Linked DNA regions of Saccharomyces cerevisiae S288C. Changing the gene in region 3 together with the main gene of any one other region gives a genetic interaction. Each region holds a gene or a part of one and is shown on either strand. Other genes may lie near its edges. The genes, in order: CHL1, CIK1, RTS1 and MIH1.

The links.
Region 1: mutations in RTS1 (region 3) and CHL1 together harm fitness more than expected from each alone (negative genetic interaction), as found in Saccharomyces cerevisiae (5 studies listed by BioGRID, with this or other methods).
Region 2: mutations in RTS1 (region 3) and CIK1 together harm fitness more than expected from each alone (negative genetic interaction), as found in Saccharomyces cerevisiae (4 studies listed by BioGRID, with this or other methods).
Region 4: mutations in RTS1 (region 3) and MIH1 together harm fitness more than expected from each alone (negative genetic interaction), as found in Saccharomyces cerevisiae (4 studies listed by BioGRID, with this or other methods).

What each region holds. Positions count from the first base shown.
Region 1 is NC_001148.4:537,709-542,470, forward strand, and holds CHL1 (DNA helicase), read left to right. Parts: upstream 1-1,676; coding exon 1,677-4,262; downstream 4,263-4,762. Other genes in the region: RQC2 (Rqc2p), read right to left, coding at 1-1,228; transcription factor TFIIIC subunit TFC8, read right to left, coding at 4,374-4,762.
Region 2 is NC_001145.3:657,815-662,073, forward strand, and holds CIK1 (Cik1p), read left to right. Parts: upstream 1-1,930; coding exon 1,931-3,715; downstream 3,716-4,259. Other genes in the region: YMR196W (uncharacterized protein), read left to right, coding at 1-528; v-SNARE protein VTI1, read right to left, coding at 731-1,384. UniProt on the Saccharomyces cerevisiae protein: Together with the minus end-directed microtubule motor KAR3, involved in spindle midzone assembly, karyogamy (nuclear fusion) during mating, and with an essential function in meiosis I.
Region 3 is NC_001147.6:356,021-360,493, forward strand, and holds RTS1 (protein phosphatase 2A regulatory subunit RTS1), read left to right. Parts: upstream 1-1,653; coding exon 1,654-3,927; downstream 3,928-4,473. Other genes in the region: YOR012W (uncharacterized protein), read left to right, coding at 523-936; YOR015W (uncharacterized protein), read left to right, coding at 3,973-4,332; ERP4 (Erp4p), read right to left, coding at 4,441-4,473. UniProt on the Saccharomyces cerevisiae protein: The B regulatory subunit might modulate substrate selectivity and catalytic activity, and might also direct the localization of the catalytic enzyme to a particular subcellular compartment. Multicopy suppressor of ROX3 and HSP60.
Region 4 is NC_001145.3:341,313-345,236, reverse strand, and holds MIH1 (putative tyrosine protein phosphatase MIH1), read left to right. Parts: upstream 1-1,716; coding exon 1,717-3,381; downstream 3,382-3,924. Other genes in the region: stress-responsive transcriptional activator MSN2, read left to right, coding at 1-834; IMP2 (endopeptidase catalytic subunit), read right to left, coding at 3,562-3,924.

The DNA.
Region 1 (4,762 bases), on a different chromosome or scaffold from region 3:
TTAGACCCTGAACAGCAAGCTTAACTTCCTCTATTAAGGGTGCATTTTCAATTATGAGATGGCCTTTCCTTTCATTTAGTTCTTGGACGTCTAATAAAGCTTGTATTTTTCTATCATTTTCGGCACGAGCATCATCGATTTTCTTTTGCGCTTGCGATTCCTGATTTTGTATACGTAGAGCATACTTAGAGGATTCTATTGTTGAGAAAAATTTGTCTAGCGTCCTATTGTAAGGACCTTCAACTTCAATGATACAAGAAGAGTCAGTGTCTCCCCCATTTATATATGGCTTAAAGGGATGGAATGTATCATAAATAAATTCCAAATCGGCAGTATCTTTTTCAGAGATATAATTTTCATTTCTTTTGGCCAAAATGTAACCCTTTCTATCGGTGGTAGTTAAAAGTTGATTATATTCTAACTGAGTACTGTTTAGCAATTCGGCGAGTGAGTCTGTTTCCTCCAAAAGATTTAAACAAGACTCTGAAGGGTCGATATTGAATACCTTAAGGTTCTTTGATAATAAATCTGAAGACAAATGAGGGACTTTCGAAAGCAGCAGTTTATGGATGGAAGGTACTTTCACTTTTTTTTTTTTAGCGCCCTCCTTCCCTTGAATGTTAAGTTGCTTAATAACAGTAATGTCTGATTCATACTTGGCTTGAACTGCTTTTATCCACTCGTTGACTAGTTCAGAGGTGTATTCTGCCTTTCTGTTTTTTTCTATGGATTCATCAGCAGACTCGTTATTTGTGGTAAAAAGTGATTCGTCAAACATTTCATAAATTTGTCCGACCTTATTTTCATGCTCTAGAACGACTCTTTGCAAAGCCATAATTCTTCTGTTCTCATCTAGAAGAATGACATTCCCTGCACTGAAAAATTCCAAAACTAAATAGAAGTGGCCATCAGCAAATTGTAGAACAAGAATTCTATCCTGGTCTACTTGCTTTAAAGCTGTTAACCGTTTAGCTTTAAGATGCTTCCTTAGTTTGACAACAAAGCCGGAAGGAGTTGGAGGTATTGGCCTACTAAATTCAGTTAAGTAAATTCTTAAGCCACAATCGACAACAACATTGAGTTTAGAATCTGGTTTATTAAATTTCAGCAAAAATTGTTTTGAGGAATCGGCAATGTTATATATATTACTCAATCGGTAGCCTTCCAAATCCTGTTTCAGCTCTCTAGCCAACAGCAGTAAATCTAGGGCACTAATTCTTTGCTTCATCGCTATTAATCTCTTGCCTGCCTGACTTCTTAGACCGGATAATAAGTAGCAACTTTCTTTTCAATTTGCCATCGGATTCTTTTAAAACTATTTTTCAGGCGAAATTTCATTTTTCTATCCTTCCGCAGCATGAATGAAAAGTTCAAACGCGTCCAAATATACAATAGATATAGTGCATTAGTTAATGTCCGGAAGAGAAGTCGCAATTGTTGAAAAGGTTAAAACTCAGGCTATTTATTGAAAATCCAATTTTAATCGTAACCACAGAGTTGAGGTAGAGGCTCATTTGTTACCTGACAGTTGATGACATTATCACTGACATATTTAAATTCATCATTAGTGTAATCAGCACATGCTAAGTTGAGGGCACTACTGCAACTTCAGTTTGTTTCCTTAAAACCCAAAAGAGTAGAAAACCAGGCTAAAAACAGTCACACTAGTCCAAAAAATGGACAAAAAGGAATATTCGGAGACTTTCTATCATCCTTATAAGCCCTATGATATTCAGGTACAGTTAATGGAAACTGTATACAGAGTGCTATCCGAAGGGAAGAAAATAGCTATCCTGGAAAGCCCCACTGGGACAGGCAAGACGCTGTCCTTAATCTGTGCCACGATGACTTGGTTGAGAATGAATAAAGCAGATATTTTCACCCGCATGGAAACTAACATCAAAACGAATGAAGATGATAGTGAAAACCTAAGCGATGACGAGCCAGACTGGGTTATTGACACTTATCGAAAGTCTGTTTTACAAGAAAAGGTGGATTTGCTAAATGATTATGAGAAGCATTTAAACGAAATTAACACGACCAGTTGTAAGCAGTTGAAAACTATGTGTGATTTAGATAAAGAACATGGAAGATATAAATCAGTTGATCCATTAAGAAAGAAACGCAAAGGCGCTAGGCACCTTGATGTATCACTTGAAGAACAAGATTTTATTCCGCGCCCGTACGAATCAGATTCTGAAAACAATGATACCTCCAAAAGCACAAGAGGAGGAAGAATATCTGATAAAGATTACAAATTGAGTGAACTAAATTCACAAATAATAACACTTTTAGACAAAATTGATGGGAAGGTTTCGAGAGATCCAAACAATGGCGATCGCTTTGACGTTACAAATCAAAATCCAGTGAAAATATATTATGCATCCAGAACTTATTCACAATTAGGTCAATTTACTTCTCAGTTAAGATTACCCTCGTTCCCATCATCCTTTAGGGATAAGGTCCCAGATGAAAAGGTGAAGTACTTACCACTTGCTTCGAAAAAGCAGCTTTGTATTAATCCAAAAGTGATGAAGTGGAAAACATTGGAAGCTATTAATGACGCATGTGCGGACCTTAGACATAGTAAAGAGGGATGTATCTTTTATCAAAATACAAACGAATGGCGTCATTGTCCTGATACGTTAGCTCTCAGAGATATGATTTTTTCAGAAATTCAAGATATTGAAGATTTAGTTCCCCTGGGAAAATCTTTGGGAATTTGTCCCTATTACGCCTCGAGGGAGGCACTTCCTATTGCGGAGGTAGTGACTTTGCCATATCAATACTTACTTTCTGAGTCCACCCGTTCAAGTCTTCAAATAAACCTTGAAAATTCTATAGTAATTATTGATGAGGCTCATAATTTGATAGAAACAATAAATTCTATATATTCCTCTCAGATCTCGTTGGAGGACTTAAAGAATTGCCATAAGGGGATAGTAACTTATTTCAACAAATTTAAGTCCAGGCTCAATCCCGGTAACAGAGTAAATCTATTAAAGCTCAATTCACTTTTGATGACTCTGATTCAATTTATAGTTAAAAATTTCAAGAAGATAGGACAAGAAATAGATCCTAACGATATGTTCACAGGAAGTAACATCGATACCCTAAACATTCATAAACTATTGAGATATATAAAAGTCTCCAAAATTGCTTACAAAATTGACACGTATAACCAGGCACTAAAAGAGGAAGAATCGTCAAAAAATGAAAATCCAATAAAAGAAACGCATAAAAAATCAGTTTCTTCTCAGCCATTACTTTTCAAGGTTTCTCAATTCCTATATTGTTTGACAAATTTGACGTCAGAAGGACAATTTTTTTTTGAGAAAAATTATTCAATAAAGTACATGCTTCTAGAACCAAGTAAACCTTTTGAGTCAATACTAAATCAAGCAAAATGTGTAGTCCTTGCAGGTGGGACAATGGAACCCATGTCAGAGTTTTTGTCGAATTTGCTACCTGAAGTTCCTTCTGAAGACATTACGACCTTGTCGTGCAATCATGTTATACCGAAAGAGAATTTGCAAACTTATATCACAAACCAGCCTGAGCTTGAGTTCACATTCGAAAAAAGAATGTCTCCCTCCCTTGTAAATAATCATCTTTTTCAATTTTTTGTTGATCTGAGCAAAGCAGTTCCTAAAAAGGGTGGTATTGTAGCTTTTTTTCCAAGCTATCAGTATTTGGCGCATGTAATTCAGTGCTGGAAACAGAATGACAGGTTTGCTACATTAAATAACGTGAGGAAAATATTCTATGAAGCAAAAGACGGCGATGATATTCTATCTGGATATTCTGATTCGGTAGCAGAGGGAAGGGGGTCTCTTTTGCTGGCTATTGTTGGGGGAAAATTATCAGAGGGAATAAATTTTCAAGATGATTTATGTAGGGCTGTGGTGATGGTGGGCCTGCCGTTCCCAAATATTTTTAGTGGAGAACTAATAGTTAAAAGGAAGCATTTGGCCGCTAAAATAATGAAGTCAGGCGGAACGGAAGAGGAAGCTTCACGAGCAACAAAGGAGTTTATGGAGAATATTTGTATGAAAGCTGTCAACCAAAGTGTTGGACGTGCTATACGGCATGCAAATGATTACGCAAACATTTACTTGCTCGATGTGCGATATAATAGGCCCAATTTCCGGAAAAAATTGTCACGTTGGGTGCAAGATTCTATCAATTCCGAACATACAACACATCAGGTCATTTCTTCAACACGGAAGTTTTTTTCAATGCGCAGCCTGAATTCACGCTAAAAGGAATACGTTTACGTGTATACTGTGATTACTACTATATATTATAGTAAACTAAACTGATATTTATGACTACTTTTTATATCTGCAAGTAATTCTTTGTCTCTTGTATCCTTACATAACTTCCAGCGTTGTTCCACAATATACGCTTATTTCATTAAATCTTTCTAATAGACCCCTTGTAAACCAACCATAATCATTCAAATCATCTCGTTTTATGTCTATTACCCGTTGTTTGCTCACGGGACATATCTTTACATGCGTTGTAAGTATTGGAAGCAAAGTGACACCACACCTCTTCCACGTGTTATTCGTGGTGGATGTTACAGTTTCAGGGTCAGCCGTGAAGCTTTCTAAATTGAACGTTTCCTCGAGAAAGCTGTTCTTCATCAATAACGTGCCGTTGTAAATTGGCGCTTCTCTTTTAAGTATTGCCGCTATAGATAATACGCAAGCTAAATCAAAACTATTCGTTAATTCGGATTTTTTGTTTATAGCGTATT
Region 2 (4,259 bases), on a different chromosome or scaffold from region 3:
GAATACTTTGACGGTGATACTGGAAGAGGGCTTGGCGCTTCACACCAATGTGGTTGGACTGCTCTTGTGGCCAAATGGATAAGTGATGTAGGTATATCCTGTGTAAGACTACCTCGTACGCCAAGATCATCTGTGGCAACGACCGCTTCAACAGAGAGCTCTGAGCAAGGTCCCAAAATGAAGAGAATGGCAAGACGTAAGAGTGCAAAGTCTTTGGTAAACTACACTGCCACCATTTTGGACTTAACCGAAGAAGAAAAGCGCCATCATAGGATAGGGGGCACCCATTCTGGGTTGACACCACAAAGCAGCATTTCAAGTGACAAGGCTAGACATTTGATGGAGGAAATGAATGAAGAGGAAGGTATTCACGAAACTGTGGTACCTGAAGATCGTCACAACTTTGAAACCAAGCTTATAGGCAAGCTAAAAGATAAGGTGAAAAATATGAAAGTAACTGACAAGGCTAAAGATGAGGATATAGACCCAATGGACCCAATGAGTCCGTTGAATAAGGATGTGTCTTGATTAACTGCGGTGAACCTTCAATATCTGTACGTTTGAAAAATATTTCCAACGATATACCTCTATATTTTGATCTATAGAATATTTAATTGCAGTAGTTTTTTATCAGTAAGGTAGCGTTGATATTACTAGTGAAGGTAACTCTATAGTTCCTTGACATGTTCTTTAGATTCTAGAGGTTTTTTATTGAATTTGTTTTCCCACCTTATTTAAACTTTGAGAACAAAACTAGCAAAATCAATAATATAAGGACTGCGATAATGGCATAGCTTATGAATTTATTAGCAACTAGCCTTCTAGTCATTGTTTTTAGTGTCTTTATACTTTTATCCACATATGAATCCGCTTGAAACAAGGTCTGTCTTGCATTTTCCAAAGTTTCTCTCTGTGACCTTAAATCCATCATTATTTGTGACCCTATTCCTTCAGTTTCATTTGCTATTCTACTGGCATCTTTTAGTCTATCTCCCGATTTCTGTAAGATTGCATGGTTGCTCAACAACTGTTGCCTTTGGTCATCGTCAATATTAGATGCGTTAAGATCTCCAAAAAGTCTATCACGATCGCCTGAGTCTACTAAGGATTGCAGTGGTCGTTTGATATCGCTCTGTATAGTCTTCTTCCATTCTCTTAACTTCGCCTTGTACGTAGCACGTTCTGAGGCATCGCCTATGCTGTTATTAACTTCTACATCCATCTGATCTAGCAGGTCAAACAACTCATCTTGTTGCTGTTCTACGTGCTTCAGTGTAGTATTTCTCTGTGATAACGGTTGTGAGGGGGCCTCTGCTAAGCTCGCTTTGGCTTGTTCTAAGGTTGTTTTGAAGTCAGATTCGTATGATATTAATAGGGAACTCATAGTAAGCCATGCAGCAATGTAAAGAGTGCGGTTGATTCGTTTTATACAACTTAATGTAAAGCTTTACACTTTTCCAAGAATAGTAATTGCCCTATATAGCACGACTACTCCACTCCTAACTTTCATTGAAAATTAGACAGTCATGTGATCAGTAATATCGTCCATAGTGATATTTGTTTGTTTACCATTTTTGTTCTTATTTACTCTCTAATATGATTCTAGTATATGAAAGATACCACTGTCGTAGCTCGTATCAAAATAAAACTAGTCAGTCGTTGACCATTGAGCATATCGTCCGAGAATAAGGCTTTACTGTATTATTTTTTGATATCCACACGTTATTGAGCTCATTCACTGATCGACACATTTAGGCGGCTTTTCCGTTTGGCTGAAGCAACTTTGAAACACAACTACGACATTATAATTAAGCGCCTAAATAAGTGAATTTTGTGCCATAGGGTTGGACCGTGTATATATAAGAGCTATTCACTATTTTAATATTTGTTTTGGCATTTGAAACTCGTTGACATAAGCTTTATTATTAGGATGAATAACTCCAAAATTCCTAAACTTTCCTTTCATAGTGATCCAAACAACGTCACTCGAGACTTTCCAAAGACAAAACGACAGAAGGTTCAGAAAAGAGAAATGGATATGATACTAACTCCTAATAACAACAAGCTAAATATATTGCACAGCTCTGGATCTGGTATACGGCGCTGCTACACTGATGACACCTCCGCTACGTATACTAAGAAACTAACCTTTGGGGGGGACCCCAAGATTATTGAAAGGGTTAAGAACAATGAACGTAAGGTTAGAAAAGACATAGATTCACTACTGAATGCTATTTCTGAAATTGAAAAGGAATCTGTTCGTATTCATGCCAGGGAACTACCTGCAATAACATTAGAATTAGATGCAAAAGTCAAAGCGTGCAGGGAGCTACAAAATGAGATTGATGGACTATCAACGGAGATGGACTTGAAGGATAATCAATGTGATCTTCAAAGAAAGAATGTTGAGCTATCATCAAAAAATATAGTGTCTATGCATGCAGTAAAAGTACAAGAGTTCGAAAACGATTTAGAGGAAGAGCTATCGAATGCCAAAAGGGAGTGGACGTATAAATTAATGGAAGTAGAAAATTTGAAACCTGACGAAAGGTTAACTGACGAAATGCGACAGCTTAAAACAGAATTCGAGGAGGTCAATAGGAAACTATTCATTCTACAGAATGAAAATGAGAACGAGTGTAAAAACTACAAAAAAGAATTGGACAAGAAATTCGAGATATTCAAGAAAGTTAAGAACGATGCTAGAATTGAATTAGATGGGGAGCAAGAAAGACTTTCGAAAGTTTTAAAAGACCTACAAGACACCCATGGTGAACTGAAAGAAAATATTAAGACGTGTAGAGATGAGTTTAACGATTTTGAAAAAAGGATTGGAGAGGCAGAAGTGAACTTCCATAGCATGGAACTTGCCGTTGTTCCTCTCAAAAAGAAGCTTGCTTCTACATCACAAGCATTGACGCAAGTGCAGGAGGAGAAGAAGCAAGTCGAAGGAGAAGCAAACAATTGGAAGAAGAAGTACGTTAATGAACTAGAAAAGGTTCAACAGGAATTATACACACGACAAAATCTGGCCACTTCAATTGAAGAAATCAAAGGATACACCCGATGCTTTGCGTATGCCAATGAACGACAAATGCCTGATGAATTCCATATCAACTATGTGGATCGGTGCATTTGCGAGAATAGTGGAGAAAAACGGGTACAAGTATTTGATAGAGTAGTTCTCGAAGAAATCCATAAGGATCACAAACGCTTATATAACGAATGCATTCCGTTCCTGGAAAAATACATCAGCAAGTTAATTAACTGCAGCATTATAGTGGTTTCGCAGCAACCCACAGCACCAATGAAAAAGACTTTGCTAAAACAGTTAATTGAGCAGTACGGTGAGAATTATAAGATGACATTGAACATTTTGCATCTTGACGGAAGTATTAAACACAGTGACGTTGGATTAGATAACCCAACAGAAATTAGAGATCTGTCACAAGATGAAGAATGCATGAACATTTTAACTTTAGATACCAAGTTGGGAAAAGATGAAGAGTCCCATTCAATGAATATATATATCGGTAGTATGTCCACGGTACAGCTGAATAGAGAGCTTGATGATGCTCCCTCAGTCCTTTCGCATATTCTCACTAAAACAAAGCAGTGCTTTGTCTTCAAGATTAACGCTGGTGAAAACATCGAGAAGGCTCTAGCCTTAGCGGGAAAGCTGAAAAGAACAATAACATTACCTCAGCTAGATTAAGAAGGCCAGATCTTGTGCGCTACAATCACTTCGTCTCGTTCCCTTACATAAAAAACTTACGTAGCTACATTGTCGTGCGTGGCATCAACCTAATTATCCTAGCAAAATAAAAGAGAATGTTACGGGACTAACAGGCGGATGTAAATTACTCACTTAAACGCAGCCAAACATCATCGAGAACTTAGGGTAGCGTGCCACAAAATTTGCATGAATAAACTTTTGTTTTCCTAATTCGACAGCATTCCCTTGTTCGCAACACTTCACTGATAGGAAATCGAATAGCGCACACTCTCTTCTGGGACATACCCCAATGCGGTAAAGCCACGAAAACACCGCGCGTAAAGGGGTAAACAAGTCCATTCCTACAACCTCTTGGAGAAATTCTTTACCTACTACAACCCCGCGCCTGATACTTTCAGTATTCATGACAACTCGAGCCAGATCCCGCTCGTGGGCGTGTTCATTCTGTGACGATCCACTAGCGACTTCTTTGTTCAGCCTGCAAGAGACGCGTTCAAGGAAGAATTCGCGATTTTACTTCTTC
Region 3 (4,473 bases):
ATCATGCCTTTTTTGTCAGTTCGTGGCCTTGCCAGTGGAGATATAACAACTACTTCGTAAAGGGTCCCGAAAGAAATGAAAGAATTACTCATTTGATATAAAAATTTGCATGGTATAACAGAAGTGAAACGCGGGGACAACCATGATCTTTTTTGAGTAGGATAATTTTTTATGTCGGTTTGATATATTATAAAGCAAGTCATATATAATATCATACTGATTTTAACCAAACGATAATCAATCAGAAAAAGAAAATAAATAAAAAATCTAGCACATAGTATTTCAGTACCCTTATGGTTCTGACCTCAGAAATTATTCAGCCGCTTGTTATCTTATAGTACGTTTTATATCGTAATTTTCCTGACATTTTGGGCAGAAATCCTTTACTCCTGATATAATAAACGACGTTTTTTTTCCTGTGTTTTTTATGTTACTATAAGAAATGCAAAAAAAGAAACAATAGAAAAAGGCAGTGACAAAAATACTAATCAGAACGTTGAAAACAAATCAATAGTTTTGATAATGGTAGCATCATCGATCAATGAAGAATCCTCTTTGGCGGTAAACTTGACAAGCGATGTAGAGAAGGCTTCGAAAACTTTGTTTAAGGCATTCGAAAAGTCATACGCAAATGACTACTTGATGAAAAAGTTCTTCCATATCCCAATCACTGAAAAAGTTTCAAGGGCAAGAATAAATGCAATGATACATTACTACACGACGTGCTACCATGACTTGGATGGTGAAATTGCTGAGGCAAATGATTTCGATGCAGTCGCAATATGGAGCCGCCCTGGGTGCCACTTGCCTGCTACACTATCTGACGACGAGTCTTTCAATAAGATTTTTTTTTCACGACTTGACTGTGAGGAAGCACGAAGTCATGCCTCTGGGAATGGACTATTACTACCTTTATGCCATCGGAAAAGATCCTAGCCATCCCGAAATTAGAGGTTCAGTCAGAAAAATACTCGAAAAATATAAAACCAAAGCAGACAAGGCCAATTGCGCCCTTGCTCTCGAGGCTATTTCGGAGCACGCAAGATCTGTGTACGAATATTTCGGTTTCAAAACCTATTTGGTGTTTCAGTTCGGGGTTGGAGAAGTGAACTCCAAAGGAGAACCCGATCCGCAGGGGAAGGGATTCACGGCCTACTTGATGCTCTACCACAAAGATGCAGACACCATCTTTCACGCCTGATTTTCTTCTAAAAATTTTATAGACATTTATTGTATGTATGGAGCATATAGCAACAATAAAACTTAGACCAACATTTTTTGCCGGGTCACAACCCCCTATCCCGGCTGCGAGAAAGGAAAAAAAAAAGTATCAGACAATTGATTATCAAAGAGTATGTGAAACTACGCTTTGTTTTCCACTTCAATTGGTAGGCATGTCAATACGTCTCGTTTCTTCATTGGAAAACTCTTCATTTCAAGGATAAACCATCGTCGCCGTAAGTATTTTGGGTTTCATTTCCTTCCCCCCTCGATTTTGCTTTTTTTTCCTTTTTTTGTTAGATAAAAATATAAACCCTTCTCCATATACCTGTTCACCTCAATACCGTCTTTAACTGGCTTTTTTATTTTGTATAAAAGTTCTACTTATTAAGATCAATAGGCACGTGCTATTTTCGAACATCCACTTTCAATATGATGCGTGGTTTCAAGCAAAGATTAATAAAGAAGACCACCGGGTCTTCTTCTTCTTCAAGCAGTAAAAAGAAGGACAAAGAGAAGGAAAAAGAAAAAAGTTCCACTACCTCATCCACATCAAAGAAGCCCGCTTCGGCTAGTAGCTCTTCCCACGGGACTACTCACAGTTCTGCCAGCAGTACCGGATCAAAGTCTACAACTGAGAAGGGCAAGCAATCTGGTAGTGTTCCCTCGCAAGGGAAGCATCATAGTAGCTCTACATCAAAAACAAAAACAGCGACGACCCCTTCTTCCAGCAGCAGTAGCAGTAGAAGTTCAAGTGTCAGTCGCTCCGGTTCAAGCTCCACAAAGAAAACAAGTTCAAGAAAAGGACAAGAACAGTCCAAACAATCGCAACAGCCATCACAATCTCAAAAGCAAGGATCTTCTTCATCATCTGCCGCTATAATGAACCCCACTCCAGTACTCACTGTTACTAAGGACGACAAAAGCACTTCTGGTGAAGATCATGCACATCCTACTTTGCTGGGGGCAGTATCCGCTGTTCCATCATCTCCCATTTCAAATGCTTCAGGTACAGCAGTTTCTTCTGATGTAGAAAATGGTAATAGTAATAATAACAATATGAATATTAATACTAGTAATACTCAGGATGCAAACCACGCCTCCTCACAAAGTATCGACATTCCGAGATCATCACACTCATTTGAGAGACTACCAACACCCACAAAACTTAACCCTGACACAGATTTAGAGTTAATTAAGACTCCCCAACGTCATTCTTCATCTAGATTCGAGCCATCTAGATATACGCCATTAACGAAATTGCCAAATTTTAATGAAGTTTCTCCTGAAGAAAGAATCCCTTTGTTCATTGCCAAAGTTGACCAGTGTAACACTATGTTTGACTTTAATGATCCAAGTTTTGACATTCAAGGTAAAGAGATTAAAAGAAGCACCTTAGATGAGCTAATAGAATTCCTTGTAACAAATAGGTTCACTTACACGAATGAGATGTACGCTCATGTGGTGAACATGTTCAAAATCAATCTGTTTAGACCTATTCCACCACCAGTAAATCCAGTTGGTGACATTTATGACCCAGATGAAGATGAACCTGTTAACGAACTAGCCTGGCCTCATATGCAAGCTGTTTACGAATTCTTTTTAAGGTTTGTGGAAAGTCCTGATTTCAATCATCAGATTGCTAAACAATATATTGATCAGGACTTTATTTTAAAGTTACTGGAATTATTTGATAGCGAAGATATCAGAGAAAGAGACTGTTTGAAAACGACACTGCATAGAATATATGGGAAGTTCTTATCATTAAGAAGCTTTATTCGTCGGTCGATGAATAATATTTTTTTGCAATTTATTTATGAGACTGAGAAGTTTAACGGTGTGGCAGAATTGTTAGAAATTTTGGGTTCCATAATTAATGGATTTGCACTTCCATTAAAGGAAGAGCACAAGGTTTTCTTGGTGAGGATATTGATACCATTACACAAGGTCCGTTGTTTATCATTATACCACCCTCAGTTGGCTTACTGTATCGTTCAATTTCTCGAAAAAGATCCTTTATTAACCGAAGAGGTAGTTATGGGCTTACTGCGTTATTGGCCAAAAATAAATTCCACAAAAGAGATAATGTTTCTAAATGAAATCGAGGATATTTTTGAAGTGATCGAACCGCTGGAATTTATTAAAGTAGAAGTTCCGTTATTTGTTCAATTAGCTAAGTGTATTTCTTCTCCACATTTCCAAGTGGCGGAAAAGGTTTTAAGTTATTGGAATAATGAATATTTCTTAAACTTATGTATCGAAAATGCCGAAGTCATCCTACCCATTATATTTCCTGCATTATATGAATTAACTTCTCAGTTAGAGCTAGATACAGCAAATGGCGAAGATAGCATTTCAGACCCTTACATGCTTGTTGAGCAAGCAATCAATTCTGGTTCGTGGAATAGGGCAATTCATGCTATGGCATTCAAGGCATTGAAAATTTTTCTGGAAACAAACCCAGTATTGTACGAAAACTGTAATGCATTGTACTTATCAAGTGTAAAAGAAACTCAACAGCGTAAGGTGCAACGTGAAGAAAATTGGAGCAAACTTGAAGAATATGTAAAAAATCTAAGGATTAACAATGATAAGGACCAATACACAATCAAAAACCCAGAATTAAGAAACAGTTTCAACACAGCAAGTGAGAATAACACATTAAATGAAGAGAACGAAAATGATTGTGACAGCGAGATACAGTGAAACAGCAATTCATTACAAGCTCGAAGAAGTGAGGAAGTTTAGGGCATGCCACATTTCAAAAGAGCAGCAGTATATGAAGAGCAAAAAAGAACTGGTAAATGGGGTCAACTTGTTGAAGAAACCAAAGATAGAATCCCCGAATATTCGAACAAAACTATAGCAAAGATAAGCCACTTGGACAATGGTTGTTTGTGGCCTGAGATAAAGGTCTCTTTTTCTCATCATTTGAGCATACTTCAATCGATGTGTCTTCATTTTATTATTTCTATACTTTTCTCCAAATATATCTTCGTTTTTCTTTTCGCTTTCCTTCTTCCTTCTGCCTTTCCTCTATTTATTTTGCACTCCACTCTTTTCCGTAAACCTTGCCTATCTATTATTGGATTTTTGAAAACTAAAGTATAAAGGTATGTCATAAATAATTAAATAACAAAAAAAATAGGATCATGATACAAAAAAGTGCCTTCCCCTTAGCACAGCTGATCCAACAATTTTAAGAGCTTGAAAAGCAACCTATACGTAGTTTTTTTGGCGACTGGTAAAAAA
Region 4 (3,924 bases), on a different chromosome or scaffold from region 3:
TCACATAATAACAGTAGCACTAACATGAAATCCTTCAACAGCGATCTTTATTCAAGAAGGCAAAGAGCTTCTTTACCCATAATCGATGATTCACTAAGCTACGACCTGGTTAATAAGCAGGATGAAGACCCCAAGAACGATATGCTGCCGAATTCAAATTTGAGTTCATCTCAACAATTTATCAAACCGTCTATGATTCTTTCAGACAATGCGTCCGTTATTGCGAAAGTGGCGACTACAGGCTTGAGTAATGATATGCCATTTTTGACAGAGGAAGGTGAACAAAATGCTAATTCTACTCCAAATTTCGATCTTTCCATCACTCAAATGAATATGGCTCCATTATCGCCTGCATCATCATCCTCCACGTCTCTTGCAACAAATCATTTCTATCACCATTTCCCACAGCAGGGTCACCATACCATGAACTCTAAAATCGGTTCTTCCCTTCGGAGGCGGAAGTCTGCTGTGCCTTTGATGGGTACGGTGCCGCTTACAAATCAACAAAATAATATAAGCAGTAGTAGTGTCAACTCAACTGGCAATGGTGCTGGGGTTACGAAGGAAAGAAGGCCAAGTTACAGGAGAAAATCAATGACACCGTCCAGAAGATCAAGTGTCGTAATAGAATCAACAAAGGAACTCGAGGAGAAACCGTTCCACTGTCACATTTGTCCCAAGAGCTTTAAGCGCAGCGAACATTTGAAAAGGCATGTGAGATCTGTTCACTCTAACGAACGACCATTTGCTTGTCACATATGCGATAAGAAATTTAGTAGAAGCGATAATTTGTCGCAACACATCAAGACTCATAAAAAACATGGAGACATTTAATAGACCCCATTTTTTTAATTCGATAGATCTTTCTTCATAAGATAATTCTGTTCAATGACTTATGAAGCTTACGGCTTATTGTTATTATTATCATGATTCTTTGCCATTTTTCCGGTACCTTCACATTTTGAAGGAATTCAGTTCCCCCGCCTGTAACAACTTAGATACACGTAGATAAAAATTAATATAGCCAAAATATTTGGTATGATAGGGTATAGTATAATATAATTAATACAATATAATATAATATAGTACAGTACAGTATAATATTGTATAATATCATATGGCACCGTAATATCATATATATATCCGTACAGTTTAATGAATTCCGTGCGCATTATGCTGTGCAATATGCCTGTCAGTTTGAAAATCGAAGATACCACATCGTACAAAAGCAAGAGGGGTGCCCCTAATGGGAGAAGATTACCGTTTTTATTTTGGGGTAGCTAACTGCGCCACAAATAGTATCTACCAGTTTGCTACTTTTAGAACTGTATTATGTATCTTTGCCGAATACTTAATTTCCTAGGCCTCATTTTCAGGACTAAGGATGAAGAGGGGCTTCAATGTTTTATATGGCGCTTTTTCTGTCCATTGTATACGTCAAAAAAGCATAGATACTCCACTTATTAGCGGTAAAGCCCTTTTTGATACATTGTTCCGGCGTTTAAATATTCTCATTATGATATTTCCCCAACAGTTACACTCTGTTATTTCCTTCTTTTTTATGCTTTATCTGTTTTTTCCCTGTTTCGATGCCGTATATCAGAAAACTTAAAGTTACAAGCGAAAACAAAGAAAAGAGAGTTAACTTGAAAGGAGACAAAAGATAAACAGAGCAGTGGACAAACCAGGATTGAAGTCAGCGAGGGTGAAGAAACCATGAACAATATATTTCATGGAACTGAAGATGAATGTGCCAATGAAGACGTTCTTAGTTTCCAAAAAATTTCCTTGAAAAGTCCCTTTGGTAAGAAGAAGAACATATTTAGAAATGTTCAGACCTTCTTTAAGTCAAAAAGCAAACATTCGAATGTCGACGATGATTTAATCAATAAAGAGAATCTTGCCTTTGATAAATCTCCATTGTTAACAAATCACAGGAGTAAGGAAATTGATGGTCCTTCACCGAATATAAAGCAGCTTGGCCATCGCGATGAGTTAGATGAAAATGAAAATGAAAATGATGATATAGTCTTAAGCATGCATTTTGCTTCTCAAACCTTACAAAGTCCAACAAGAAACTCATCAAGAAGATCTTTGACCAATAATAGGGATAATGATCTTTTAAGTAGAATCAAGTATCCTGGCAGTCCCCAGAGGTCGAGCTCTTTTTCAAGGTCAAGGTCCTTGTCGAGAAAGCCAAGCATGAATAGCAGTAGCAATTCAAGCAGGAGGGTGCAACGGCAAGATGGGAAAATTCCGAGGTCATCGAGAAAAAGTTCACAGAAATTTTCTAACATTACTCAGAATACTTTGAACTTCACGTCTGCGTCATCCAGTCCACTAGCTCCTAATTCGGTAGGGGTGAAATGTTTTGAATCATGCCTAGCCAAAACACAGATACCATATTATTATGACGATCGTAACTCAAATGACTTTTTCCCTCGAATTTCTCCAGAAACGTTGAAAAATATTCTGCAGAATAATATGTGCGAGTCATTTTATAATTCATGTCGTATTATAGATTGTCGGTTTGAATACGAATATACTGGCGGCCACATAATAAACTCCGTTAACATACACTCGAGAGATGAGTTAGAGTACGAATTTATCCATAAAGTTTTGCATAGCGATACTAGCAACAACAACACTCTACCAACTCTTTTAATTATCCATTGCGAATTTAGTTCCCACCGGGGACCTTCATTGGCCTCTCATTTGAGAAATTGTGATCGTATAATAAATCAGGATCATTATCCCAAATTATTCTATCCCGACATATTGATATTGGATGGCGGATACAAAGCTGTTTTTGACAATTTTCCTGAACTATGTTATCCACGTCAGTACGTGGGAATGAACTCACAAGAAAATTTGCTGAATTGTGAACAAGAAATGGATAAGTTTAGGAGAGAATCTAAAAGATTTGCTACTAAAAATAATTCTTTTAGAAAACTAGCTTCCCCTTCAAATCCTAACTTCTTTTATAGAGATAGCCATCAATCTTCAACAACAATGGCATCTTCTGCACTATCGTTCAGGTTTGAGCCGCCTCCGAAGCTGTCATTAAACCACAGAAGAGTCTCTAGTGGTTCATCATTAAATTCAAGTGAGAGTACAGGCGACGAAAATTTCTTCCCCATCTTAAGTAAGTCGTCTATGAGTAGTAACAGTAACCTAAGCACTTCACATATGCTACTAATGGACGGACTGGATACCCCATCATATTTTAGTTTCGAAGATGAGAGAGGCAATCATCAGCAAGTAAGTGGAGATGAAGAGCAAGACGGAGATTTTACTTTCGTTGGTTCCGACCGAGAAGATTTACCCAGGCCCGCAAGAAGATCGTTATTCCCTTCTCTAGAGACTGAAGATAAAAAATGATACTACATGTGCATGAAGTATTATGAAAAAAAGAAGTATATATTCAGGAACCGAACGGCAACAACATCAATACATAAATCACAATCATCTATATTTATTGCATTAGATTAATCACATAATATAAAAAATTTGCATTTGAATACCGGGGTCACTTCTAAATTCATAAAAATAAGCTGATTTTCATTCTAAAATGGCTCTTTTGCTAATGCAGTCTCTACCGGTACTCAGTTTGAGATCCGTTCCCCACCTGGAGGGTGGCCAAACAATTGTTATAGCTTTCCCTATGACCAACCCACTGGAAATGGGGCCAAAAGTATTGCTATCAATCGAATGAAAATAATTGTCCCCTTCGACCCATATGTGTCCCCTGGGCAGGTTCACTTGAGGTTTAGGGTATGGAAACTTCGTGTCAATGGTATCAAACGGTAAACCTTTAACCCTTTTGCAGTAAACTTTCCGAGGGTTTGTAGGAGCTTTGAAAAGGATAATGTCATCTCTAGATAAATTACTTGGGTTCTTGACTCCAAACTTCCAAAGCAGCAC